Linked DNA regions of Astyanax mexicanus. The protein of the gene in region 2 interacts with the protein of the main gene of each other region in a pairwise test. Links are inferred from orthologs where the notes say so. Each region holds a gene or a part of one and is shown on either strand. Other genes may lie near its edges. The genes, in order: iscu, nup62l, agr1 and oip5.

Region 1 (7,819 bases), on a different chromosome or scaffold from region 2:
TCCTTACTAAGATTTTACTAATAAAAACTCTAATTGCAGGTCTCTGTATTGATGTAGGTCATTAGTGGAAACTCTAATTTCAGATATGATTCAGAAATAATTACTTGTAATAATGTCAGGTCTACAGTGATATAAAATCATTCTGAATAGATGTAATTCCAAAAGCACACATCCTTAACATAATTCTATAAATCCCTTACTACTGACCATTGAGATATAATTTTTCTTTTTTAGTAGTAGATATTTTAATTTTGGATATCTCCACTGTAATTCTGACAAGTTAAATGTCCAGTTCCACATATTAATAAATTAGTGTTGATTCCTATAAATCATAATTCAAGATATGCAGTTAGGAGTAGTAGGGTTGGGTGATATGGCCAACATCTATATTTGAAGAACACACTAATTGCAACAAAATAAATATTAACATTTATTTGGCGATAATATTGCATATGATATATTATGGCACACTCCTAAATGAGAAGTGAATTCTACACATAGCAAAAAAGTTGTACCCTAATCGCCCTAAAATTATATGACATGCGATAATGATTATTGCATACGAAATTATATGATTATATCTACAGTTTGAGTTTTGACTAGTCATGATAACGGTACAATATTTTTAAATAATATGTAACAATAAGAATTACTTTATCTAGAACTAGAATTACTTACTAGATGTCTAGAACTACAATTTCTAAAAATAAAAAAGTGCAAATATCTTATTTTTTTTTATAGTTAAGTGTGTTAAACTTTATGGAAATCAGTGATAACATCGAAATTACATTAAAAATGTGCTCTATGGCTTTATAAAGCTTTAGATCTGATACTTTTTACTAGTAAAGGTGCCATAGCTGATAACTTAAACTAATATTTCCTCCAGTAAAAGCTGCATTACAGTGACCTTGTTTTACCTGTAAACACTGAGATAGCCAGGACTTGTAACCCATCACTGGTGTCAAAATTCACCTGATAATGACAATGACCTCAGAAAACAGTGTACCTACCTATTACAATAATTCAAGATTCCGCTAATATAAAGTTCTAATGAGCATTTCTGATAGTTTTAGATAGAAAACAATATAATGTTTGATATCTACAATATTTAACTGTGTACTAACACAAATGTAATTGCAGAGATCTGTAATTAAAGTTTTTACTAGTAAACTGTACTTTAAAATGCATGCAGATCAGTGGTAACATGACAGAATTACATTAAAATTATGCTCTATGTCTGTATAAAGCTTTAGATCTGATAGTATTACTAGTAAATGTGTCATAACATTTATTCTGCATTACAGTGTCCTTGTTTTCACCAGTAAACATGGAATTGGGTATCTAGGCATTCTCTCTCTGGTGTCATTTTAGGCAAATCTGCGTGTTGTAAGTACCTAAATCCCACAAACATGTTTAATTTAAAGAAAAATACATCTAATAATGACAATGACCAACTCATACCTCAAGATATCTCTAATATTTAATTCTGATGAGCCTTTTGGATAGTTTTAGATCAAAAATAAATGTATCAATAACTATAGTTTTCACTAGTAAAAATGTACTTAGAGATAGTTAATATTAAAGCAGATCAGTGGTAACATGACAAAATTACATGAAAAAATATGTGCTTTACAGATTTATAAAGCTCTATATCTGATATTATTACTAGTAAAGGTACCATAGCAGTTGTTCTGCATCACAGTGACCATGTTTTTACCAGTAAAAACTGAGTTGGGTAGCTACGCACTTCGACTCTGATGTCATTTTAGGTTAAAAAATGCTTAATTTAAAGAAAAATACACCAGACAATGACAATGACCTTGAAAAACAGATTCCCTATTCATCATAACTCAATATATCTTTAAAACGTAGTTCTAACAGTTTTAGATAGCAAATAGCATATTTTTGGATATCTACAATGTTGAACAGTTACTACGAACACAAAAGTAATTCTGTCTGTAACTACAGATTTGACAAGTAAATGTATACTTTAAAATGCAAATAATATACATTTACTATACGTAACTATATTAGTTTTTACAGGTAAAAATGTACTTATAGTTAAAAGCATGCAGATCAGCATTAACATGACAAAATTATACCATGTCTGTATAAAGCTTTAGATCTGATATTATTACTAGCTAAGGTACCATAGCATTTATTCTGTATTACAGTGACCTTGTTTTCACCAGTCAATACTGAGTTGAGTAAGTTAGCTAGATCTCTAGGGTCATTTTAGGTTGAAACTGCTCGTCATAAGTGCCTTAACCGCACAAACATGCTTAATTTAAAGGAAAGTAAGACCAGAACTTCGATAAACATGTAATCCACCCACCTATATAATCAGCTACAATACAAGAAGCTTCACTTCTGAGGCTGCAGCTGCTCAGCGGATTTCCCCAGTCCACCTTAAATTCCCCAGCAATAACAGGGCGGCGCACGTGAAGGTGCCTGTCTGTATCAGCAGTAGGATTTAAGGTGGAACGGAAGATTCGACTACGCATCAAACTTAGCTTGGTTTAACGTTACTTATCCAGGTCAAACAATAACTGTCACTTATCTAAGCGAGGACACCGCGCTGTGAACAGATAAATAATTATGTAGTGTTATATCCTGCTGTAGAAGGGCTTTGTACTTGTTTTTCTGAAAGTCTCGAGCAGTTAAGCTTTATAATAAATATAAAACAGAGCGGAACTCGCTAGTGTTAGCAGCACTAGCTCGCTATGCTAACGGAGGATTAGCGCCCCAGACAGCAGCGCTGTTAGCTAACAGGCTTAAAGTGCGCAGACACACACAGCCCGGTTAGTTTCACAGCTCAGAAAAGCGCGCAGTGTTTAACAGCCACCGACCTTCTTGTGGTAGCAGCACACCGCCTTCGCCTCCGTGCCCGTCAGAGTTCTGCCAAACAGCCCAAAGGACGAGAAGCACTTCCCCACCGACGACAGCGCCATGTCTCCACTGCCGACTCTCCGACTCCACACAGACACTGATAATAACAGCCGCTGTGAAGGACAGACAGCAGGGGGCGCTGTTAGACCTGGGTGTATCTCAAATTCCAGACATGCTGACTTGATGCATTGCTGCCTACACTAGCTCCCTCAGAAGGCAGTATGTTGATGAAGGATGTGTCTCCGATTTTAAAAGCAGCATTAAAGTATTCTATAGAGTATAAATTACAGAGTACAGAGTATAAAGTATAGAGTATACATTATATAATATAGAGTATAAAGTAGAGTATAGAGTACAGAGTTTAGAGTACAGAGTATAAGTTATAAATATAAATAGAGTATAAAGTATTAAGTACAGAGTATAGAGTACAGAATGTAGAGTATAGAGGACAGAGTATAGAATATAGAGTAGGGTTGCCACCTTTCCCGAATTAAAACAGGGGAAAACAAGTGCCTGTGGAATCAAAAAAAAAAAAAAAATGGGACGGGTGGCAATCTTAGTATAGGCAGCCTACTGCTAGAAATAAGTGTTTATCTGGGTTATTATTAGTTGTTAGCAATTTCAGCCACTAAAAAATACTAGTGTTGTAGTACTCCAGTCTGTCCTTGATCTCAAGACCATAAACCAGATTTGGAATTGTTTTTGTCTTACTTTCAGGAGAGATGGACTCAGAGACCCAGAAATTCCAATGTGTCTCTCCTAGGTAATGCTTATTCGAAACCAAAAATACAAACCCACACAATCAATGTTAAAAAGGACAATAACCCAGTGTTATTTTCTGACATTTTTTTTAATGTGATAAGCTAATGGTGCAGACTGCAACCACTGTCAACTCCTCAAACCAGAGCGAATAGGGTTAGCTGTGGTGCTATTGGTGGGTCTGTTTGTTTATATTAAAGGTGAGGTGCTAGACTAATACCGTATGTATGTTTATCAGATAATTAATGTTTCAGAATAATAGAGATATGATGAGACAACTTATGCCCCAGTCCTAATATGTCCTGTGTGTGGCAAGTTAATCAGCCATGTATACAGTTGCAAGAAAAAGTATGTGAACCCTTTGAGATCACTTGGATTTCTAAATTAATTAATTATCAAATGTGTTGTGATCTTTATCTAAGTCACAGCAATAGACAAACACAGTCTGCCTAAACTAATACTACACAAACAATATATGTTTGCATGGTTTTATTGAAAACAACATGTTAACATTCACAGTGCAGGGTGAAAAAAGTATGTGAACCTTTGGATTTAATAAATGGTTGATCCGCCTTTGGCAGCAAAAACCTAAAAAAAACGTTTCCTGTAGCTGCAGATCAGACCTGCAGTCAGGAGGAATTCCTCTTTACAAAACTGTTTCAGTTCAGCTATAATATTCTTGGGATATCTGGTGTGAATCGCTCTCTTGAGGCCATGATGCCACAGCATCTCAATTGGGTTCAGGAGGACAGGACTCTCCAGAAGGCGGATTTTCTTCTGTTGAAGCCGTTCAGTTGTTGATTTAATTCGGTTTTGGGTCGTTGTCCTGTTGCATCATCCATCCTCTGTTGAGCTTCAGTTGGAGGATAGATCTTAAGTTTTCCTGCAAAATGTATTGGAAAACTTGGGAATTCATTTTTTTGTTGATGACGGCAATCCGTCCAGGCCCTGAAGCAGCAAAGCAGCCCCAAAACATAATACCCCCTCCACCATGTTTCACAGTTGGGATGAGGTTTTGATGATGGTGTGTTGTGCATTTTTATACACATAGCGCTGTGTGTTCCTTCCAAACAACTCAGTTTTGGTTTCATCTGTCCACAGTTTATTTAGCCAGTACTGCTGTGTAGAACATCCAGGTGCTCAATTGCAAACTTCAAACGTGCAGTATTGTTTTTTTGGACAGCAGTGGCTTCCTCTGTGGTGTCCTGTTTTCTTTATTGTAGATCTGTCAACAGAAATGTTAGCATGTGCCAGAGATTTCAGAGAGTCTTTAGCTGACACTCTAAGATTCTTCCTCACCTCATTGATCATTCTGCGCTGTGCTCTTGCAGTCATCTTTACAGGACAAACACGCCTAGAGAGAGTAGCAACAGTGCTGAACTTTTTCCATTTGTAGAGCGTTTGTATTACCGTGGAAACATAAACATCAAGGCTTTTAGAGATAATTTAGTGACCCTTTCGAGCTTCATGCAAGTCATCAATTCTTGAACGTAGGTCTTTTGAGAGCTCTTTTGTGTGAAGCATGATTCACATCAAGCAATACTTCTTAAGAGCAGCACACTCTAAACTGGCATTGGTTTTTATAGGACAGGTCATCTTTAACCAACACATCCAATCTCATCACATCCTGCCTCCAATTAGCTCTTAGAAAAGTCATTAGCCTAGGGGTTCACATACTTTGTCCCTCCCTCACTGTGAATGTTAACATGTTGTGTTAAAAAAACATGCAAACATATATTTATGTGTATGGTATTGGTTTAAGCAGACTGTGTTTGTCTATTGTTCTGATTTAGATGAAGAACAGAACACATTTAATGACCAATTTATGCAGAGATCCAAGTAATCCCAAAGGGTTCACATACTTTTTCTTGCAACTATATATTAATATTGGATTGCTTTACCAAAGAAAAAAGAAGGTACAGGTGAGAAAAGTAAAGTGAAATGATGGGATTTTACTGTCCAGTGTGAGCAGAGGTCTGAAAAATACATTCTGAGTTCTGAGGAACTTTCCACTTTTAGCTATTTAAATTAGACCAGGTAATAGAGAATGTGGGAGGAATGTTTGATAACAGTTTTACAGGTTTACCTACTTATATGATAAAAAAATACTTAAAATGAAAGTAACATACCCGTCCTAAATACATAATAGTTTGTTTGTCTCCTGTAAACTCTGCTTAACTTCATTTACAGTCCAGTTTATTTTTTTTAGGGGAAAAAGAGCAGCGAGGCTGAACAACAAGGTAGTAATGCTCTGCTAATGTTGCTGCTGTTAAAGATTTTCACATATACAATAGAATAAGCAAATGGTGCCCTGTAACTGCAGGACTATTTACAATGTAACAGCTTTATTCACACATCATTATTAGTTAGGTCTGGTATATATTTTAATCAGCTTTTCTCAAATTTGCTGGATGGATTTCTATTCAAAGTCCATTCCATTTGAGGAATTTATTTTCAAGAGATGGTAAAATGGCTATTTCACTGTGGTTTTAGAAATACAGCCATGCCAGAATTAGTTCATGAAGTAAAAAACACTTTTTCTTCTGTCGTCCTGCAGGCAAAACTACTAATCCCAAACATCAGTGAACTTATGGCCAATTTCCTGATTTCTTTTTTTCTCTATTTTGCTGTATATATCTGTTAGTTTGTGTAGCGAAAACAGTTGAAATGTATTTGTACATGTCATTTTCCAACCTTGCATCTTCTACAACTAAGTCTCAGATTGTGCTACTTGGTCTTTAAGACTGATATATGCAAATTGTTCTTTTCTGATTGGCTGGTCTGTATGGCGCCTAATTCCTGGGCTGTTTATTTATTTTTATTTGGTTATTTCAACAGGAAGAATCAGAAACCGCACAGAATTGGTTGACATAAAAAGGAAAAAATAAAATAAAAACATCCATGAGGGTACAGTTATGCAAAGCGTCCTGCCCACAGTTCTTACAGTCATTCTATTTGTGTATCCTAAACTAAAAAACATAAAATTGTGAAAAAAAAAATCTGGCAAACAGTTTCTTTAAATATATGAGCAGAAGTGGTTAAACATTTAGATGGTTGACATGTGACCCTGACTTCACGCTAATGCCATGTAATTGTAGAAACAAACAATGGGTCTATTCTGGCATTACTCCTTTAAAGTATATTTGTCAGATACATATTCATACATGAAAAAAACTGAATAATATATAAAGTAAATAGAACATATAAAACAACAAAAAAAGATAAAGTGTATATGTCATATTCCGCCAAATCTGTGACATTTCTTTCCCCAGGAAATTACATGTATAAATGTGCACAGGAAAAACTTTACTTTAAAATACATTTTATTATTGAGCATAATGTCTTGTACACTGACCAAATTCCTTCAGAGATGTAATAAATATGCTTTAATTTTTTTTCCACAATAGATTCATTATATTTAAGTTAAAATACACATTTTAGTTGTGTGCCTGAGTTACCGTAACACATTACCCCATCTGAAACATCTGGAACATTCTACAATTCACATCTACAACATGAAGTGACATCAGTTGGTTCATCTGAAGACCATGGGAAGACAAAAATTAATATTTTTTGTGTATTTGATCTTATTGTAACTATTGACTGAGGGGGCCACTCTCAACACTCTGTCCTGTAATCTAAATTAATTCTTAAATCTTATTTATTTTTAAAATACAATTTTTGGGAAAATCACTCAATGTGCTCAATTTCCTCATGCTTTTTTCATGTTTTTGCAAATTCTATGCTAAAAGCTCATTCTTCTTAATTTTATACCTGTTGTTAAAAACACAAAAAGTAACAGGAGTGATTTTTTTTGTCATAAATATCAATTATTAGACATGCAGTCAACCATTTCTTTAAAATAAAAACTTTCTTGAGAGGAAATGAAAGGAAACAGTGGACTTGCTTTTAAACATGCATTTTAAGCTTACATGAGTTTTGTAACCACCATTTACAAGCTTAGACATATGTGTTATTAGATTCATAGTTGAAAAAGGATAAAAAAACTAAGTTTAATTTGGAAGAGTTACAACAAGCAAATTGCAGCCATTGGGTGGAATAGCGCAATATCAAGTTAAAATGTTCAACAAACTGCTGTCAGAAACAAATAATTAAAAATAAATTTCTTTTTCTCCTCCGCTTGGCGGGAAACGAGCTGCGAATGTTTGTT
Region 2 (7,413 bases):
ATTTTTAAGCGATTGGCTCCAAAGATACAAATTTTGTTTGTTTGTTTCTAACAATGATTCACATTTTATTCATATTTCAGCTTAGTCTTATAGAAGAAAAAGTGTGATTATTCGTCATTAATCATGGTATTCAATTTTAATCAATTTACAAAATGCTATACTGGTCATATCTCAGTTATAATCTTTAAAACTAAGATTTTTTGGGGGGGATTCATCTACAGGAAGAAGTCAGACGTATTTGTCCTCGCAGCAGCAGACGACTTGTATTACCACTGGCTGTTTATCATCGCCACCGCTGTGCTGTACAACTGGTGTCTACTGGTGGCCAGGTAAAAAACACCTGTCTTATTCTTACCTGTCTTACTGGTGGTGATTTAAAATGTTAAATATTTGCTTAATAGAAGGAATAAATATGTATTTCTAAAATTATACGAACAACAATTCAGTAAAAAAAACATTTAAGCTTTTAATACAGATCTGCTTTAGAGCTGGCCTGGTTGAGATGTTCCCTACATAGAAAAACAACAATTTAAGAGCTTCAAACCTAATGAATCGAGCAGGTCTAATTTAGATACTCATTTTTATGCTGATTTATGTAAATATCTGCAATTGTGCCCAGTGCAAAGGGGCATTTCCTGTGGCAGGCTCACAATTTAGCCATTGATATTTCAAACACAGGGCCTGCTTTGATGAGCTTCAAACCAACAACTACATTGTGTGGCTGGTTCTGGATTACCTCTCTGATCTGGTCTACATACTGGACACCTGTGTGAGACTGAGAACAGGTCAGAAGCCTCGGTCAACAGTCACAACACTCAAAAGTCTGAAAAAAAATTGCATTTATTGAAATAATGTACTAAATGTTGTACTTTTGGTTCTAGAAATGATTTTATATTGTTTTTTAATCACCTGAATCCAAATTACAAGAAAATAATTACATGAATTTCCACACCGCAGGTTACCTGGAGCAGGGTCTTCTGGTGAAGGACCTCAAAAAGTTAAGAGACACCTACATCAGCAACCTCCAGTTTAAGCTGGACCTCCTGTCCATCCTGCCCACAGACCTGGCGTACATCGCTACTGGAATCCACGTACCGGAGCTGCGATTCAATCGTCTGATGCGCTTCTCTCGGTTGTTTGAGTTCTTTGATCGTACGGAAACTCGCACAAGCTATCCGAACACTTTCCGCATTGGAAACCTGGTGCTCTACATCTTGGTCATCATCCACTGGAACGCCTGCATCTACTTCGCCATTTCGAAGTCTCTTGGCTTCGGCTCAGACCAGTGGGTCTACCCTAACATCTCGGATCCCGAGTTTGGTGCTCTCTCAAGAGGCTACATCTACTGCCTCTACTGGTCCACCCTCACGCTCACCACCATTGGCGAGATGCCTGCACCAGTGCGTGACGAGGAGTACCTCTTCGTGATCTTCGACTTCCTAGTGGGTGTCCTCATCTTTGCCACCATTGTTGGCAACGTAGGAGCCATGATATCCAACATGAACGCCACACGTGCCGAGTTCCAAGCCCGCATCGACTCCATCAAGCACTACATGCAGTTCCGCAAGGTCAGTAAGGAGCTGGAGGCTCGGGTCATCAAATGGTTTGACTACCTGTGGACCAACAAGAAGGCAATCGATGAGCAAGAGGTGCTCAAGAACCTTCCCAACAAGCTTCGGGCGGAAATCGCCATCAACGTGCACCTGGAGACTCTGAAGAAGGTGCGGATCTTGCAGGACTGTGAAGCAGGGCTCTTAGTGGAGCTCGTTCTGAAGCTTCGGCCTCAAGTCTTCAGCCCGGGCGACTACGTCTGTCGGAAAGGAGACATTGGGAAGGAGATGTACATCATTAAAGAAGGTCGGCTGGCGGTGGTCGCTGACGACGGCGTGACGCAGTTCGCCCTCCTGACTTCTGGCAGCTGCTTCGGCGAGATCAGCATCCTCAACATCAAGGGCAGCAAGATGGGCAACCGGCGCACGGCCAACATCCGAAGCATCGGCTACTCGGACCTCTTCTGCCTGTCCAAGGATGACTTGATGGAGGCGGTGATAGAATACCCTGATGCCAAGAAGGTGCTGGAGGAGAGGGGCCGAGAGATCCTCCGGAAGGAGGGACTGCTGGAGGAGCTGAGGGCAGGGGGGCTTACAGGAGAACAGATGGAGGAGAAAGTGGAACGACTGGAGACGTCCCTGGATACCCTGCAGACCCGCTTCGCCCGGCTGCTGGGGGAATACACGGCTACACAGCAGAGACTCAAACAGAGGGTCACCACTCTGGAGAGCAGGATGCAGCTTTCAGGCAGCGGGTTTCTGTCCGATGGTAACGAGAGCACTACCGATGGTGACGGCACTCACAGCGAGGTCAACATTCAGCTCTGAATGGAACTGGGTCTTTATTATGGGTCTTAATTCCATGATTATTCTAGACTCAGGGAGAACAAGTGGCTCAGAGGCTTGTTGGTTAAAGGAGAACTCTGGTGTAAAATGGACTTTTGTTGTAGTAAAACATGATAAAATATTCTTTCCTTTGATGAATAGCACACCTCCGTTCTCCCACAGCGTTCAGAGATCCAGACATTTTAACAGTTTGTCCAAACACCCTTCAGACTGGGAGATACGGGGCAAAATTTGCCTTGATGAATCACTTTTTACACCGTTATCCAGCTCAAAGTAGCTCCACACCTCCTCACTAGAATCCGAAGAGCCCTGACATTTAAAACGAGGCATTAATAACTTAAGGTAAGTACTTTTTTTTCATGTTTTACTTCTCCAAAAGTCCATTTTACACCGGAGTTCTCCTATAACACATTTCATGTTTTTTCCATGGTATTCCATGTCTTCGTGTCTGGGTTTCCTCCCACTGTCCAAAAACATGGTTAACAGGTTAAATGGAAACTCTGAATTGCCCTGGTGTGTATACTGTATGTGTGGGTGTAATTATGTATGAGAGTGTGTATGTATGTTTAAAACTTTTTAGAGCTTTTGAGACATTTTTTATACTTTTGCTAATTTCATTTTATAATAGTCTTTTAAGGACATCTGGAATCTGAAAAGGCAAAGGCTATGTTTAATGTCATTAAAAATAGATGTCTTTAGTGTCCACTAAAGCTGATATCCATATTTTAGTCAAAAATGTAAATAGCTCAGTGTTTTTAAATAGGTCAATAAATCAATAGGTCAATGGGTCACTTTATATGAGTCATTACCAGTTGGAGACAATATTTAACAATAAAATGTTTGTTTTGGGTGAAGACTGAAACATGTAAAGGCTGTATATATGTATATAAACTTTGACTTGTATTATTGTACTACATAAACTTTGAAGCTGATTTTTGTTTGAAACACAGATTAAAGATATTGTGTTTTAGTTTATTTCGTACTTTGTTTCTCTGGTCTTTGCTCCCATCTCACAAAAACACACATACTATGTGAAATAAAACTGATAAACCTGTTGCATGTGTACGCAGAAGAACATAAGAAGGTGGGTATAAAGAAAGAACATTTTAGTCTATGAAAACTCGTCAGAAAATGGATTAAAATTGAAATGTCAATATTTCAAATAATCAAATATCATCAAATCAATATTTCATTATAGCAGCGCCGCTGGACTGGAACATTAACTCCCCTTCGTATGATTGGAACTATTCTTTTCCATTATTTATAGAAAATATCGTTTGTAATTAAGCCTGTCTCCCAAATCACACACATACATTTTTTAAAATAAACACTACACAATAAATACACGCTAAATACAATTAGGTGGGGTCTTGTGCAGTTTGGGACACAGCCCTATAGTCTATATGATTTTTTTTTGTATTTTACCTCTGCTTTAACTAATACATTTTACTTTTTATTATTTTTTTTTTATTTGCATGCACTTGATTTTTTTTAAATATAAAAATACCAATATTCAATATACCAAAAAGACAGTTTAGTGGTCTCATAGTAAGCAAGGGAATAAATTGAATAAGAAAAAAAACGTAAAACGTACCTTATTAGGTACTTTTATGCAACTTTTAGACAGATTTTAACTATATTAATTGCCTCATTTAATTTTTGACAAAAATTTAAAGAAAACTACCAACCACTACTATACAACTCTTAATGTTTAATGGAAAATATATAAATATGTGTTTGTTTTACTCTTAATAGTCTAACGCATTCAAAGTTGAATTTTAAATACAGCTAAATTTGATTTTATATATATAAAAAAATATATTTACATTATTATTATAAAACTCTATAAAACGGTATAAAGAGAAGAGCCTTTATTTTAAACAGGCAAACGTAGGGGAAACTCCGGCTCGATCACAATTGACTCCCTTCCTTTATGCTAGGGACTGTTCTAAATGCGGTTAACAGCCTTTATTAATGGACTATGTAGTTCACTATGTAGGCAGCATGAAGCGTTTGAGATGTGCCCTCTGGTCCTGCGCAGTGTCAGTAGCGCCGCGCTGACGGACTTGTTTTTCCGCGCGAGGAGTTTTACAGGAATGGGATCCGGCTTTCTGCACTTTTTCTGAGGTAAATCAGTTGTACTGCTGTTTCAGGATTTATTCTCAGTTACTGCAGAGTTTATTATTATAGATTAAATCACATCAGCAGGAGTGTTTAGGTAACAAGCTTAACATTAGCCTAGTTCACTTAGTTAGCGAGCAGAGCTAACAACATAGCTAAGCTAAGCTAACTAGCGAAAGCATGACTAGCTGAGAGCTGAGCCGGGTAATTACTTTACCTTATTTACTTTATTTACCTCAACACAGCAAGAGTGTGTGTTTATCTCTAGCTTTCTATAAGTCTATATCTCTATACATATGTCTATATGACTTTTATACACACACACACACACACTGTGCGTAGATGGAGAGAGATAAGTCCCTTTAAAGTGTAAATTTGGTATAAACAAGAACACAAGCAAAGCAACAGCACATAAAAACATTAGAAAAGTTAATAATATCTAAATCATATTAAATAATATAAAATAATTAAAATTCCATATTTAGTAATCTCAGGAAATGTACTATAATCTTATTCAGTTCTTTAAGATGCTGTCAATTATCTGGAGACGATAGGACATTGGGACAGTCAGCAAAATTGGTGGTATTATCTAGCCCCCATGCCAGACTTGAATTATTTTGTAAAATTTCTCTTATAATTTATAATAATCTTATAATAATAATAAAGTCAACATTGAGGGATGTACTGTAATAAATCATGAACAGGGTTGCTTTAAAAGAGACAACTTGTTTTGTAACGATCCTATTTATTAATATTCTTTATCTAATATTTCAGTATTTAAAGAGAGGAAGATGTCCTTCAGTTTCGGACAGGCCAGTGCTGGTTCTGGCTTTACTTTTGGAACCCCTAAAACTACCAGCTCAGCTCCGGCTGCTGCTACAGGTTTTGGACAGCTGACCAGCACCCCGGCCGCAGGGGGCTTTACGTTCGGAGCCCCGACTCAGCCTCAGGCCCAGCCCCAGACCCAGGCTTCCATCGGGACGTCTCAGATCGCAGGACTGCTCGCTCAGCCCGCGGCCAACAATGGAGCTTCACAGGGGGGATTTAGTTTCGGTGCTGCGACGCAGAACACCGCTCCTGCTCCTGGAGGATTCTCCTTCGGGTAAGACTTTTTGTACAGGTATTACTGAGAGAAGACGCTGTACTGATAGATACAGGGGTTGGAGAATGAAACTGAAACAGCTGGTTTTAGAGCACAATAATTGATTGTGGTGACGGACAGTTCTGGTGGAAACAGGAGAGTTGAGGTGCACATTGAATTCTGCGTGATTTGATCAGCCGTGGTTTTATGTTTTTTGGATACAATCCGGGTTAGCACCCGAACATCCCTTTCAGACAGCTTCCTCTTACAGCGTCCACAGTTAATCCTGTTGGATGTGGTTGGTCCTTTACCCTGGATACCGTGGCTCTTGATGCATCACAAAGACTTGCTGTCTTGGTCACAGATGCTCCAGCAAGACGTGCACCAACAATTTGTCCTCTTTTGAACTCTGGTATGTCTCCCATAATGTTGTGTGCATTGCAATATTTAGAGCAGAACTGTGCTCTTACCCTGCTAATTGAACCTTCACACTCTGCTCTTACTGGTGCAATAATGTGCAGTTAATGAAGATTGAACACCAGGCTGCTCCAATTTAGCCATGAAACCTAAAATCCCACACTAAAATGATGACAGGTGTTTCAGTTTCATTATCCAACCCCTGTATGTCTACCTACAGTGGCTTTTCAAAGTATTCATACCCCTTAAACATTTTAACATTGTGTTGTCTTACAACCACAAAGTTAAATGTATTTTATGGAGATTTTAAATGATGGACCAACACAAATTAGCACATAATTGTAAAGTGGAACGAAGATGATCGATAATTATAACATTTTTAATCAAATAAAAATTTGAAAAGTGTGATGTTATAAAGAAGAATGGGGTAAAATAATTAAAATAATTTTAAATGTTTTCTCACTTCTAGTGCACCCACTGCGAAACTAGGCCTGGGCCTGCCTACTGCCTCTCAGCCTGCCAGTACTGGAGTGTCTCTGGGGGGTCTAGCAGCACCTTCCTCCACTGGAACAGGCTTTACACTGGGAGGTCTTGGTGCTCAGACTACAGCCGGAGCTCAGCCGTCTACAGGAGGCTTCAGCTTCGGGATGACCAAAGTTCAGACCACTGCAGCCCCGGCAGTGCAGACCACTCCCGCCCTGTCGCTGGGTGTGCAGCCTACAGGTCTGTGGTTTATCCTGATTTTAGGATTAGGGGTTGGCGATATAGCCCTAAAACAATATCACTATATTTCATGGCATTTTCGTGATAACAATACTCTTGGCAATATGAAAAAACACTTAATTAAAAAAAATATATTGTCCCTATTCAGGACAGTACCAGGGGTCTGCATGGGTACAATTAACTTTTATTTTATGTTCTGGCAGAAATCATTTATATAGCTATTCAGTACTTGATTATTTTGTGATTTAAATATTGGCTATTGGATTCTGAATCAGTGTTTCTGATTTTGCTATTTTAGGTGTATTTTGCGTAAGTTACAAGAAAAAGATTTAAGAGTTCAGAAATCAATATTTGGTGGAATAACCCTGTTTCTTTATGCATCTTAACATGTTTTCCACCACCAGTCTTACACACTGCTTTTGGATAACTTTATGCTGCTTTACTCCTGGTGCAAAAATGCATGTAGTTCAGTTTGGTGGTTTGATGGCTTGTGATCATCCATCTTCCTCTTGATTTAAATTTGGTAAAATCAAAGAAACTCATAATTTTAAAGATTCATACAGTTTTAATGACACCATTCTTTTCTTTTCTCTTTTTTCACCCTCTCCTCTTTCCTTCTGTTGGTCAGGTCTCACAAGTACTGCACCCGTCTCTACAGGCCCTACTCTCGGAGCT
Region 3 (6,875 bases), on a different chromosome or scaffold from region 2:
ACATGTTCCTCTCCACCAGTCTTACACACTGCTTTTGGATAACTTTATGCCAATCCTGGTGCAAAAACTCAAGCAGTTCAGTTTGGTTTGATGGCTTGTGATCATCCATCTTCCTCTTGATTATATTCCAGAGATTTTCAATACGGTAAAATATAATAAACTAATCATTTTAACTGTTCTCTCATTTTTGTTCCAGAGCTGTAGATGATGTGACTAGTCAGAATGTGTTTAGCTATAGCTCTGTAGATCTGACATAATCACTATTAAAACTTTCAGACATTATATTTCAATATATAAAACTAGGCTAACTATACACAGGTTACAGAGATCTGCAGCTACTTAAGCTAGCTAACTTGAGTTTTGACTAGTAAAATGAGAGTTAGGACCCGAGTTTGGTACTGGTAATGTGTGTCTAGTCAGAATGTGTTTAGCTACACATAGATCTGTAGATCTACAGATCTAGTAACTAAACATTTCAGAGATGATATCTGAAATAATAGTTTCTATTAGTAAAAACTAACTAGCTAACTTAGCGTTAAGTTAGCTACAGAGATCTGTCACGAGCTAGGTTAGCTAATTAGCCAACTTGAGTTTCACTAGTAAAAACTTGGGCTTGGACTAGCCCTTGTAGCTAGTTAGCTGAAGCTGGTGGTGTTACTTTAGGCTATAACGGTGGGCTATAATCTACAGTGGTGGTGAAGCCAGAGCAAAACTTGGAAAGGTGCAAAACAGCAGAAGAACAACCACCTCACATCACCTTACAGCACTAATCCAGATCTGCAGCTCCCTGCAGAGCTCAGGAGAGCTTAAGTAGGAGTGCTAACCGTTAGTTAGCCTGTAATGCTGTGCGCATCTGGACCGACTGAGCCGAGGAGTTCAGAGCCAGACACAGTAACGTTAGTGAGCTAGTTAAATTATCCAGCTATAGTTACGTGATGTTTAGCGGTTTAAGCTAATTTCTCGGTAAATAACCGAACAGACAGCTCTCCTCCGGACTCACCTCGCTTAATATATCGTGCAGGTATCGGAACGGCGGTTTGCTGAGCAGTTTTTCAGTCAGGGGAGGCTTCTTTATCACTCTCCCCAGAACCTCCTGGGTCTTTTTAGCCACCGAGCCGTTCATAGCAAAGCCCTACGGTCCTCTATTCGACGTTACCGCTGCTCCCGTGTGAAATATTGAGTAATTCACCGCAAAAAGACCCCAAAAACGGAGGAGCTACAATCACTGAGCGGCTCTCAGTGTTGCTGTGTCAATAGCGTTCAATCCCACAATGCCCCGCTTCGCCAATATGCGCACGCGCACACCCTGCGTGGTTGTCAAGGGGTGGCAAATATCCATGGCAACGGCTAACAACTCCGGGCCTGTTTAATAGCATGATACACTTTAGCTAAAGCTAATACAGGATTTTAGCTAAAAACACATTTTATTATACATTAAACATATGAAAAAATTAAACATAAAACATTTACTGCACAATATACTGACTATAACAGAATAGAGAGTAATGGAGAGTAATGTTTATATGAATATAAATATTTAAAGGGGATATAGATGAACTCCTACTACTTATAATGATAGTAATAATAATAATAATAATAATAATAATAATAATAATAATAATAATAATTTTGCAACGATCAATTAATCAGTCAATCTTTATTTTTTTCTCAGAGGTAGCTGCACTGAGGGTGAGCCCGTATTTTCATTGCCGCCAACAATTTCCAATAATAGGGATTTATACTCTTTACATAAAAAAAAAATAAAACAGAGGACAGTAATCAAGCTAAAACTAATGGAAAAAAACCCCGAAAATAATCATTATTATTAATTAATATTAAACTGAAATTAAGACTTTTTTAAAAAGAGTTCAGAAAACCCAGATAGCAGATCTAGGGAAATACATAATAAGAAGGTAAACCAAAGATAAAGATAAATAGGTATAAGAAAGGTTTAAAAACAAGAAAATGTAAACAATTCAATGTAATATTTTAAGTACAAAAAATAAACTTAAGCTAACTAACTAATAATGAAATTATACAATAATAAAATATTATTGATGATAAAATAATAAACAAACATAAACAAACAAATAAATAAAAAGTGATTTGAAAAAAGTAGTTAAGGTTAAGAAAAACAGGTAGAGGCAGAATGGATGTGGTTAAAAATTAAAGTATAAAATGACTGAGTGAAATGCGGAATTTTCCAGTTAAGTAAAACATTTTGTTCAGGTTTACCAGAAGAATAAAAGTAACTAGTTTTTATATATAAGTAATTTAAACATCTCTCTGCATGTGCCCATATAGACATGAAATCCTTTAAATAATTTCAATGGTATTTTGTCTACCTTGGCCTTAGCCAAAATAGTACAATGGTTTAAAACTACAATGGTAAAAATACTGTTGAATAATTCAAGATGTCCTTGATATTTATATGATACTATTGAGTATTGTGGTATATTGAATATACCACTGCACATTTAGTACCATGAAATACCATCATACCATGGAAAAACTGCTGTATTTTTTCACATTAGATGGATTTATTAATATTAGGCTACAGTATAAAAAGCTGTCCAGTGGTGGCTCAGCTGCAAGTTCTGGATTGCTAATTACAGGGCTGTGGGCTTGCTATAACTATAAATGCAAAAAGGCACATTATTATTGCAATCAAAGTAAGTGTTACAACAGTGAAAGTGAAATAATAGTTACAGGTTATGAAATAGATCCAATTCCAATGAGCCAATTCACAATATCACTGATTGCAGAGCACTGCCTGTGCTAAAATCTGGCTTGTTCACTCTTTGACACACCTAAAAAAATCTGCCGGTCCCATGAACAAAGCTACAGACAGGGAAAAAACCACACCTTTAATTCATAACAGCCTCTAGGCCTCTAACTGGTTTAAGCAAATTCTGTGCTTCAACATACACAACAAAGGCAGCCACACATTCTTAATTACAAATCACCCCTGTATAGTTCCAAAGCAAGATCAATACACCCCTGTGATTAACAACTGAACAGGTGTTATTTTCTTATTTTATATTTTCTCCATCTTTTATTCCCCCCAATTTAGCTTAGCTAATGAACCTGCTCTCACATTAGGATGTCCTCTATCACTATTAATTCTGTTACATGTGAAGCCAGTCGTTGTTTCTTCAAATGCAGAATCACTAGGTAATCAATGAGCTTAGAAAAAAGCACCAAATCCCTAGTTCTGATACATCAGTCAACATACATCTGTGCCAGCCAGCATCACAGACAGTGCCATCTACCTACCCGGACAAAAAGAGAATGGGTGGCAAGGCAGCTTGACCTGTGATTTGAGCATCTGGTCCTTGTGCCATAGTGTCACCTTCTTATGAAAAGAGGTTCTTTTCCTGAAATTCTGAACCTGCATGCTGTATCTCTACAGGTCATGCCTAAAACCAATTTTATCTCCACCAATCCACAGGACGTGTTTCTTTGAAAACTTGTGTCACAAGAAAAGTATTCTTTTGCCTACATATAGGTCACAATATAAAAGTGCACTACCACCCCAAAGTCAGAGTCAATCTTCCTTAAGGTCTTTTACAGTCAAAGAGTGGGTTTTGATTTTCCTTTTTCGAAACCAGTCAAATGTAAAATTTGGGGGGGGGGGGGACTCAAAACTAAGCATATTAAATATCAGATCATCTTCTATTTACTTCAGTATTTCTTTAGTAAGAGATCAGTATTTGTCCAAGTGTAACCTGTGCATGATTCCCATTAGTGCTAGTAAACAAAACATGAAAAAATAATTGTAAATTGTGGTTTATATGAATGTGAGAATTTGAGTCATTGAAAAGCTACTGGGAGGAGGACGTCTTGTTTAGCCATGTGTTCGTACGTGTATTCAGACCTGTTTGGCGAGTTCTTTTAAGCTATAAATGCACCTGCACCACCATGAATACTGTCAGACTGACAGAGCAGAAGAGCAAAGCTGGTTCAGCCGTTTCACTTTTGGTAAGATTTCTTTTTACTTAAAAACTGGTATTTATTGTTTTTTAATTAATTATGTATTATTGGGAAATTGAAAGGTGTTGTGTTTATGCTTGGCTGTGACAAATTAAATGTCATATTTGTTTAAGTTGTGTAAAGTGTATATCTGTGATTTTTTTTTTTTCGTTTTTGACAACAGTATAATTTATTTTCACACAACTGGGATAAGTGTAAGCTAATATTGAGATATAGAGGAAGTTATGAACAATTATTATAATCAAAACAAGATGCTAATGCTTTTACCAGCCTGTCTAAACATGCATTTCTAAAAAAAAAAAAACTAATCACATGCAGGGTTCTCAATATTTACTCCACAACATGATTTGTAAAAAAAAAATCATAAAGGAATGGTCATAAAGTAGCTTTTGAATAGACCAGTTATTTGTATATTCAGACCAGTTTGGTGGGTTTCATAGCTATACATATACCTGCATACCTGTGGGTTCTGTCAGACAATTTTTTTATGTCTACAAAATGTTTTGTTTATTGTATTGGCCCAATGTGTATGTCATTAATACAAATAAATGTGTGTAGATATTTTATAATTAAAAAAGTAGCTGTTAAACAGACCAGTTGGCCATATATTCAGACCTCTTTGGTGAGTTTCATAGCTGTAAATACACTCGCATGTGTGTGAGTTCTGTCATATAAAATGTGTTTAGGCTCATGTTAGCAATTGCAGGAAGATTTTTCAATAAATCTATTATATCCTGATTTGTAAAACATCCTCAAGAAAAACTACACCTACAAACAGTGCAGTTGCCTTTTAAACCGACCAGTTAATCATGTCCAACCACTTGCTCAACCAGCCACCTCCTCTTTTTTTTTTAAGCAATCCCTTTAATAGCTACAGGCTGCAATGTGAAAGGGGTATGGTACTTAACTAAACACATTCCACCATACTGATCATACTGATAATTTAACACTTAACACAGACATGTGCACAATATACTCACTGTTTGTCTGATTCTTACAGTAATCATGGGCCGCTGGTGTGTGTACGCATTGCTCTTCTTCTTATCCTGTGACGTCTCCATGCAAAGAAAAAAGAAAGTAGTCCAGACTCTCTCCAGAGGTAAGATCATTTCAAAATATGTATACGTATTTTTCCACACTATAAGGTGCACTGGATTTTAAGATGCATTATGCGACACTAGCAATGAACAGTGGTGTCGCCCTGTTTTCCTTCTGATTCAGCAGGTCTTGCCACTGGGTGACGAGACCTTTAAATCTAAGCCATGCAAAGTAACAAAACTATAATTCAAATAAGCACTGGATGTTAATCTACACAGATTTCTCTCCTAAATACAGTTTATTTGGGTGAGTAAGGAGCTTCTATTTATTTGCTGCAAGCTTAGATTTCCAGATTTCCTTAAGTGTTCCGGTAAACCAGGGTGCTATTAGCTAGTGGTTTACAGGTTAGACAGGTTAACCTGGTAGCAGGTTACAGACCGATAATACTCACCTCTGAACGGCGAAAGAGCTAGCTAATGCTAATACTGCTCAAGTTTTGAGTCTTGGGGCTGGAGAACCAAACTAAAACTCCTGTATAACACTGCACTTCAGCAGAGTGGCTTTACTGCTCCTTACAACCTTTCTTAAGTAAGGCCATGAAAAAAAACTCTTGGATTTAAATTTGTAAAAGAAAAACTGTCTTTGTTTTAACTAGACTGACTCTTATTGCACTAAATTAGGATGATGTGTCCTGTAGATCAAACAAATTTGAAAATGTGCTATAAAAAGAGCCCATATATATATATATATATATATATATATATATATATATATATATATATATATATATATATATATATATATATCTTTTATGCTATATCTACTTGACTGTGTCCCAATGGGTGCTGTTTCTTGTAGAAAACTAGAGGTCCTACAGGTAAGAAAACATAAAGAAGTTCACATTTAGATGCAATAAACCAACCAGTGTGCCAGTTGTCATTCGCTTTAAGAGCCAGGTGTGCTCAGACTTTGGCACATTGCTATTTCAATGCCACAGCTACCTGGACATGTCCACTGCTTCTTAGCAGAGGAAACTGACCTGCTTGTTCATTCTGTTTATTGTTGATGTAAACATTTCCACCACGCCCATTGGTATAGATATATTCACAAACATTGTTGCTATTTAAACGAGTCAGGTTCAAGGCGTGACTATAGACTGTTAGCAGGGTGTAAGATAGCAATGAGCATTGCAACACAACCATAATGTTATGTTGCATTAAAATAATTACAGTTCAAAAATTCAAAGACTTAAAATATTAATGTGTTTGTGAATGCTGCAAATTTTCTGAGGTCATCTGGCACCCCAGCTTGGAATGCTTTATTTACCACCAGTACTCTATACAGTCCTACTGGTCTAAAGTAACACAATAAACTGGTGTGATTTATATAAAACTGAATGTAAAAGACCTTAACAGAAGGAATGTAATCAGAAATAAAGGAATTATTAAATAGGACAGTTATTAAATATTAAGAACTAAAATGCAACATACCAAATTCTATCTCTGCTTCCAGTACTGATATGGTCACTAGGATTGTCACTTGTGTTTTTACTTTACCTGGTTGAGTTGAACTGTTGCTTTATTTCAGGCTGGGGAGATGACATCACCTGGGTTCAAACATATGAAGAGGGTCTATCAAAAATGAGAGCAAGGTAAGATTAACTGTTAAATCAGTCTTTTGTCTGAGAGCTGCAGAATTCTTTATTATAGTTATGGATATGTCTTCTGTTTTATCACTACAGCAACAAGCCTTTAATGGTCATTCATCATCTAGAAGAATGTCCACACAGTCAAGGTCTGTAATATTTCTCTATTGTTCATTATGCATGTTTTTAGAAAATCTTA
Region 4 (7,411 bases), on a different chromosome or scaffold from region 2:
TTATCTCCATTGTTCTTACCTGGAGTTTTGTTCACTGCGGCAGCGTTCTTGTTAATCTCTGGTTTGGTGCGAACATCAGACTTCCTGCCAGGAGTGGGAGTGAAGGGAACCATAGGAGACATCCTAGCTGGAGTCTTCACCAAAGAACGCTTGTGCTCATTGTCCTGCGTGGCCTCAGAAAACCTGAAAAAGAAAGTTTCTTTTTACTTCACTTTACCTACATCTGTTATGTGGATGGGATAAATAGTTTTAAATAAAGTAATTTTCGACCTAAAACCTCATATTTACCCCTAAATATCACATGAAGGAATCAAACGACCATTTCCAAATACTGTCTGCATCTTACCTGACATTGATTTTGTTGACTGAAAGGACAGCTGGCCTGAAGGGGACACTGTTCTTTTTTGCAGATCTGTTGACCAGGATTGGGGTGAACCTGCGTTTCTCTGAAGTTGGTTTCCTCTCCTGTAGGCCCGGGCTAAACAATGTTGCACGACTGGCAGGCGGCTTCTGCAAATGAACATGTATTTTTGAGTCCCTTTTACAGCTCAAGACTGGTTTTACAAATTACAAACTAATCTAAAGCAACTTTTTACTCACAGCCTGAATCTTCGCATCACCAGGTTTCTTTGCACTGTTTTCAGATTGTGCCTGAAATTAATGCACACCCTTAATACATCACTACTTTACTATTTACAGATGCTTAACCCACATGCTTTAACTTAAAAGCTAAATACACTCACAAATCAATCAAATGTACCTTTAGTTCCTTAACAGAGCTTCTGAGAGCATCCATCTGCTTGTTTTTCCTCTGTACGTAAGAGTCGATAGACTCCATCTTATTGAAGTGTGCCTCATGGAGTTTCTTAAAGTCTAAAGTAACAAATACAAAATACATTATGTAAAGCACAATGACCAGAACACCAACACAACACAGCTGAAACACAGAACCTGATCTTGCTATCCTTATACATTTTATATATGTGTCTATTACCATCTTTCACATGCACATGCCTGGATTGTCTATGAAGACTCTCTCTTGTGTTCCCTCGGTTTGCTTTTACATTTAGAAGTATATTCATGATCAACATAACTTGTAAATTGGGCTTTGGTATCTGCATGCATTCAGGATTCTGGATCCTGGAATGTTTTGGCCATTATATATACACAAAACAATAATATTAACAATCATGTGCATTAGTATTTAGTAATGTGATTAGTAGCTGATTTTTGCTCTACATAAAATAATAAAAATCAGATAACAGGTCGATCTCACAAAAATGCATTGGAAACTAAAACTGGACAAGTGTCAATGAAAAAGATGGATATTAAGTGAAATTATAATTAAAATTGCCCCATAGCATAATATACAGCCCTGCACAAGTGCAATTAACTAAATTAGTCTAATTAAGCACTTACTGCAATAAAACATGCAGTTTTTCTGAATTCCCGAAGTCATACAATTACAATTTACCCCAATAATAAATGCCATCATACTGCCCAACCCTAACAGACAGAAAATTAAACTTTACTAGGAGTGGTCGGTCTCAGAGGTGCCTTCGTCTTCTTCAACAGACCCTCATGACGAGGAATTCTGCCAGCAGTCTTCTTTTCCACACCTGTGGAAAACAAAACAACCCTTAAAAGCATTCAAACTATTCATACATGTTATAGCAGCAGATCCAGTATGTGTGTCATTCAGGAAATAGGAGGCACTCAAGAAAAGTAGTAGACACATTTAACAACAACAACAACTCTTCACATAAGAAAATGCAAATCCAAATTCCTCTTTTTACAGTTTTCCTCCAATAATTTCCAAAAACGGTTAGCACAGCCAAAAAACTGAGTGCATCTGTGCTCCCAAATCCTTCACTCTCAACTAGTGCTCTTTAAGCTTAAGCGCATCTTTTACATACTATCAAAATATGAGTTTGATTGTAAATTTCCTTTTACATTAAACTGACATGACTTTCATGAAATAATACAACAATAACAAAAATATTCAAACAAATAAAATCATATGAATTATTATCTATGGAGTTAAGACTGTGGATATATAAAATGAGTTACCTGTAGACAGCATAATTAAAGTTTGATGTTTAGAATGAATGTACTGGCAAATGCATACCTTGAGCAGCCTGCTGAGTAACATTAACAGACTTTGGTTTTGCGTCTGCTTTGCTCTCCTTGGGATCCTCAGCTACAGCCGGAGTCTCTGTGCCCTTAGTTGAAGACACTTTTCTCCTTTTTGAGCTTCTTCTGCCCTGCTCTGCATCATGAAGCTCAGCATTGTCCTAAAAATGGTTAAATGTTTCTGGTGATTTTTTTTTTTAAACACGATGAACTGTTTGTTTTTTAACATAACCGAGGTTGTTAATGATATGACTTACCTGGGCTGGGCTCACTTCCACTTTGGGCTCATTGTCTGTACTGCCCTGGTCAGAATGCTTCCTCTTCATGCTTTCACTCTTCCTGCGGCGCTTGGTCACATTTGAGGACTTGACCTCATCCTCTGCCTGAGCATCAACATTATTTGCCTGAGGGATGTAATGCATTTATAATATGAGATTTATAGCCACACTTATGTTTTAAAACAAGAACTTATTTGTATAAAACAAGAGTCACATTGCATTGCAGTATGTGCAATATCAAATATATGATTTTATTAAACTTTTTTTTTTTTTTTTAAACTTGGAGACCCAAGAGAATTTAAAACTCTCCATGACATGTCTACCAAAGGAACATTATATCACAGGTAAAATCTGGTGACAAACTGGAAAATGCTTAAATATCTGTATTTCACCTGAAACCTAAAAACCACAAACTTAAAAGGCTGTAAAAGGTGTGTAATGAAATTGGGGGACTCACATTCTCTGAGCTCTCTTGTTGCTCAAAGTGCTGCTTCAGGGCCTTCAGCAACTTCTCAGCCTAAAAGAAAAACACATGGATAGGTTTGGTTCCATTTATCTGAGAAGGGAAGGGAAGGGAAAAAGAGGAGCAATCTCACACTGATTTACTCTCTTTATTAAATAACTGCCATGATAAAAATACATTTTAGGAGCCAAAATAATACCCTGTGCAATACTACAAGATTTTATAAACCTTATATATACTACCACAACAGATTTTACATTAGAATTAATGCTGAATAATAAGACATTTAGCTTAAGGTATTAAGGGGATAAATAAATCAGCAGTGGCAGTGGGACATTGTAGCTTTGGGAGTATTAGAAGCATTAAATCTTACGTTTGCAGTGTATAGTCATGCACTAAATATTCTCAACTAGGGGTGTGCCATATCGTATCATATGGTACACAATATCATCACCAAACATTTGTGATAAATGTCACAATTCTTGAAAGCAGTATATTTTGCTACAATAATAACAATAACAATAACTACTATTATATTAAAAGTCTTGGTAAGTTACTGTTTTTACATACTATTTGTTTCAACTAAATAATTTAAACCCTTATACTTACAGTAATTAATAATTTAACATGTAACATCTATTTTGTTACAGCAGTAGATTCAGTGTTGACATACTACCAATAATATTTGTATTACGTATAATAACTTACAGGTACTTTGTTACGACTGTAGGTTGTTGAATTTAATTAAATGTATTTATTATTTTTTCAGTGTTTTGACATACTGCCAATAATATATTTATCGCAAAACCACCGTGAAATATCCTGGTATTGATTGCAATAGTGCTTTTATATCGCACAGCCACAGAAACAATTGTCTGCGCTTATAAATATGCCTTAAATAAATAGCTTAATCTACTTATTTTTAATAACTAGAACAGCCATATAAAAACAAAGATTAGCCAACCTAGCTAAATACGTTAGATAAGTTTAAACATAGGTTAACTAGCAAGCTAATGAATCTTGAATTGAACCTTGAATTCTAGCCTGCTACCTTAAAACGTGCACAGTTAGCATCATTAACCTACACTGTATGTTTATGTGGGCCAGACCACGCCGTGCAGCAGTTAAGGTGGACCTGAAATAACCTATAGCGGAAAGCTATACAACGAACTCAGTTAGCTAGCTGCCCCTAACTAAATTAGTGTTAACGTACATATATGTCGGCCTCACCTTCATGTTAGCTTTCAAACCAACGCTTTTGGCGAGCTGCTGCAGGTCTCCATATTTGAGGGAGTCCAAATCCATCTCCAAGACCAAATCTAGACAATGTAGACGATACAAACAAACAAAAAGAGAGAGAAACGGTCGCAGTATGTCCAAGACCGAACCAAACGCGTTTCTTTAGGTGGGTGACTGAAGGGAGAACGCGCCTGCGTCGGTTGAAAACCACAGTTCAAATTTTGCCACCTCGTTTCCTGATTGGCTAGGAGCGCTGGAGACGGTAACATGTTTGTAGCGCTGATTGGTTCGTAGCCTGAACATGGGCGGAGTCTATCATCACACTGTTTGTTAGAGTGAGAGCTGTGTGTGTTTTGGTTGTTTAGCACGGTGTAAATTCTCGCCAGTGTAGAAAATGTCTCACAGAAAGCCCAGTTTCCTAACGGACAGCTATGACTGCGATAGCACCCAGAGCAGCGTAGTTGTGGAGCAGCTGAGAGCTGTGGAGGAGCCGGGGGAGCACACGGTGGACTATGAGCGGTGCTGTGTTCTACACTGCGCCAAGTGCAGCACGGTCATAGCTGACTCCCTGTCCGCCTGTGGGGAGGCTAAGAGTATCAAATCCATCATTTGCCTGAGTAAGTTTCTGTTTTCAGTGTGAGATAAAACATTTGTAAAGAAGTTAACTGCGTTATTGAAGTGCTTTTATTGTCAGAAATTGTCAGAAAACATTTCATTAGAAAAAAAAAACAAGAGACAACTTCAGTTTCTGAATCAGTTACTGTAATTTAGCTATTTATAGGTATATGTTTGAGTAAAATAAACATTGTTGTTTTATTATATAAACTACAGTCAACATTTCTCCCAAATTCCAAATAAAAATATTGACATTTAGACATTTAGAAAATGAGAAACGGCTGAAATAATAAAAAAAAGAGCAGAGCCTTCAGACATGAAATGATGCAAAGAAAACAAGTTCATATTCATAAAGTTTTAAGAGTTCAGAAATCAATATTTTGTGTAATAACCCTGTTTTTCTTTCACAGTTTTATGCATCTTGGCATGTTCTCCTCCACCAGTTTTACACACTGCTTTTGGATAACTTTATGCCTTTACTCCTGGTGCAAAAATTCAAGCAATTCAGTTTGGTTTGATGGCTTCTTGATCCATCTTCCTCTTGATTATTTTCCAGAGGTTTTTAATTTGGTAAAATCAAAGAAACTCACCATTTTTAAGTGGTCTCTTGTATCCATTGTATCTGATGCAGCATTGCCAATTAACCAGCATGCTCAGAGGACAGCGCAGCGACTTCTTTGCGATACATCGGCTTACAGATGCCTTGTGCTGATCGACATCACCCTACCATGAGGGGAGAGAGTGTCATCTACCCACCCAGAGAGAGCAAGAGCTCCGGTAGCTGATGGCAAACTACATTTTAACCAGCAATCTCCAGATCATAGTGACGGCGCCTTAGTCAGCTGGACCACACAGAGCCTTATGATTACAACAACTTCTCTCCTGAATGATCTCACATGAGTCTTTTCAGACCTTAGGACTACTGTCAGAAATCCCCCAGTGAGGGTTCTGTATTCAACTACCAATCCCCCTCTGAGTGTACTATACAGACCTGGCAACCTATAACTGAATCTTCTGCATCTTGTCAGTGCATTGCCTCTGTCCACAGTGCTCTGCAGTTTAAACTGTGAATGCAGGTGGGAACATGAGGCTCAGCAGACCACGCGATTAATGAAATACAAAACAACGTGTTTAAGTCAGCAGATACAGAGAGGCAAGGATGTGTGTGGGCAGATCAGCACTGCTGTTTGTCACCCAGAATAAACAACATTTATTTTTCTTCTGTGTGCATAAGTTTGATAAGACGCATTTGACACCTAAATTACGTTTCCAGCAACCATATAAAGAATAACCTGACATCAACTGTTTTTTCTACTCCTCCATGCAGTATTCTTTCTTCTGTGTGATGTTTAAGTGTTTCTTGCATGCACAGCCTGTGAATTGCGCTTTAAAGATTGCTATTAACAATCGGTTTATAGAATAGTGTTAAAATATTAAATCGGAGTGTTTTATTTCAAATAACCCGTTTTACACAATATGAACATAATATTTTAAATGTGTTCATGCAGAAGTCACTCAGGACGTAAAAGTCAGAGGGAAGTTTGAGGTATGTCTAGAGGGTCCTCTGGCTTTTTGGTAAGTAAGCTGTCCCCTAATGTGGCATAAATATTTTTAGTTTTTATTATTTTAAAATTTGTAATAAAAGTCCTCTTTTTCTTATTTGTCACGAAGCACTTACAGAGTCCTTGAATGCGGTATTTGTCATCGCAGCATGGGTGTCATCCTGCACTCCACTCCAACACATTGGTCCAGCTTGCGAAATCTCTTTCTCTTGCGGAAAGAAGTTCTAAATTGGTGAGATGTGTTTTTGTTTTGGCTTTTAAATAAGTACAATGTGGTGTCCAAGTGTTGGGGAAAAAAAAAATAAAATTGTATTTACTTATTTTAACCTGTTCAGTTACATGCTAAGCAAGTGCACCGTGGTGAAAGCTACCAAAGTCAGCTTTGAAACCAGACCTATAAGAAAAAACATCATTGAGGTAAGTGTAGCATGGTCGGCTCAGTCTCATATACCATTACTTTAAAGGGAGAATTTTCCTTTACTTTTTACTAAAATTTTGTTTAGTTTAGTACATAAAAATATTAATATGTCTTTAAAACAGACAGACCATATGTAGGGAAAATAAGTAGCAAAATCAGCTTGGGTTCATTGGGCCTTATTTCTTAGAAAAAAAAGTATTTCTAAGATCTAATTTACACAGCTTCAAACAAGATTCTGACAGTCACCTTTTTTTCTTATTTGGGATTTTCTTTTTCATTCACAGTAGGATTCATTATTATAAGAGCAGCGCTGTAAAGAATAAATCAGCAGTTTTTAAAAGCATATTGTGAACATGACTGAGACTTTTTGTTAGGATATTTATTCAACATATTCAAGAAGTTCTTAGGAAGATGTGAATGGTTTGTGAATGAGGCCCATTGTTTTTTGACATTATAAAATCCAGCACATTTACATATTAATGTATGTAACCCATTCACACTATGTTGTAATGTTTTTAATGGGCTGCTTTCTGATTGAGGAGCAATAACTGCAGCCAATAAAAACAGAACTCATTTACATTAGAGTATTAAAGACACATTAAGATAAAAGCAGACTGGATCAATGAACATTGTGTGTTTGAGTGGACACTGAACCCCACAAAAATGTGTATCTCCAAAGTAGCAACTTTACACGTGAAAAGTC

The links.
Region 1: the proteins of nup62l (region 2) and iscu interact in binary tests that used the Homo sapiens proteins (3 or more experiments, as listed by UniProt). The two-hybrid records come from large-scale screens. The link is inferred for Astyanax mexicanus from reciprocal best matches to the Homo sapiens genes NUP62 and ISCU.
Region 3: the proteins of nup62l (region 2) and agr1 interact in binary tests that used the Homo sapiens proteins (3 or more experiments, as listed by UniProt). The two-hybrid records come from large-scale screens. The link is inferred for Astyanax mexicanus from reciprocal best matches to the Homo sapiens genes NUP62 and AGR3.
Region 4: the proteins of nup62l (region 2) and oip5 interact in binary tests that used the Homo sapiens proteins (3 or more experiments, as listed by UniProt). The two-hybrid records come from large-scale screens. The link is inferred for Astyanax mexicanus from reciprocal best matches to the Homo sapiens genes NUP62 and OIP5.

The regions. Positions count from the first base shown.
Region 1 is NC_064429.1:3,638,715-3,646,533, forward strand, and holds the start of iscu (iron-sulfur cluster assembly enzyme ISCU, mitochondrial), read right to left. Parts: upstream 3,007-7,819; 5' UTR 2,952-3,006; coding exon 2,850-2,951; intron 1-2,849.
Region 2 is NC_064417.1:1,308,476-1,315,888, forward strand, and holds the start of nup62l (nucleoporin 62 like), read left to right. Parts: upstream 1-4,397; 5' UTR 4,398-4,523; intron 4,524-5,291; 5' UTR 5,292-5,308; coding exon 5,309-5,619; intron 5,620-6,484; coding exon 6,485-6,738; intron 6,739-7,366; coding exon 7,367-7,413. Other genes in the region: cnga2a (cyclic nucleotide gated channel subunit alpha 2a), read left to right, coding at 222-329, 679-785, 958-2,378. UniProt on the Homo sapiens protein: Essential component of the nuclear pore complex. The N-terminal is probably involved in nucleocytoplasmic transport.
Region 3 is NC_064418.1:38,617,545-38,624,419, reverse strand, and holds the start of agr1 (anterior gradient 1), read left to right. Parts: upstream 1-3,857; 5' UTR 3,858-3,905; coding exon 3,906-3,981; intron 3,982-4,993; coding exon 4,994-5,092; intron 5,093-6,618; coding exon 6,619-6,682; intron 6,683-6,772; coding exon 6,773-6,825; intron 6,826-6,875. Other genes in the region: traf3ip1 (TRAF3-interacting protein 1), read right to left, coding at 1,001-1,123. UniProt on the Homo sapiens protein: Required for calcium-mediated regulation of ciliary beat frequency and mucociliary clearance in the airway. Might be involved in the regulation of intracellular calcium in tracheal epithelial cells.
Region 4 is NC_064414.1:7,791,648-7,799,058, reverse strand, and holds the start of oip5 (protein Mis18-beta), read left to right. Parts: upstream 1-4,387; 5' UTR 4,388-4,507; coding exon 4,508-4,730; intron 4,731-6,236; coding exon 6,237-6,303; intron 6,304-6,399; coding exon 6,400-6,522; intron 6,523-6,625; coding exon 6,626-6,707; intron 6,708-7,411. Other genes in the region: nusap1 (nucleolar and spindle-associated protein 1), read right to left, coding at 20-183, 347-510, 601-651, 761-873, 1,533-1,619, 2,129-2,294, 2,391-2,537, 2,869-2,928 and 1 more. UniProt on the Homo sapiens protein: Required for recruitment of CENPA to centromeres and normal chromosome segregation during mitosis.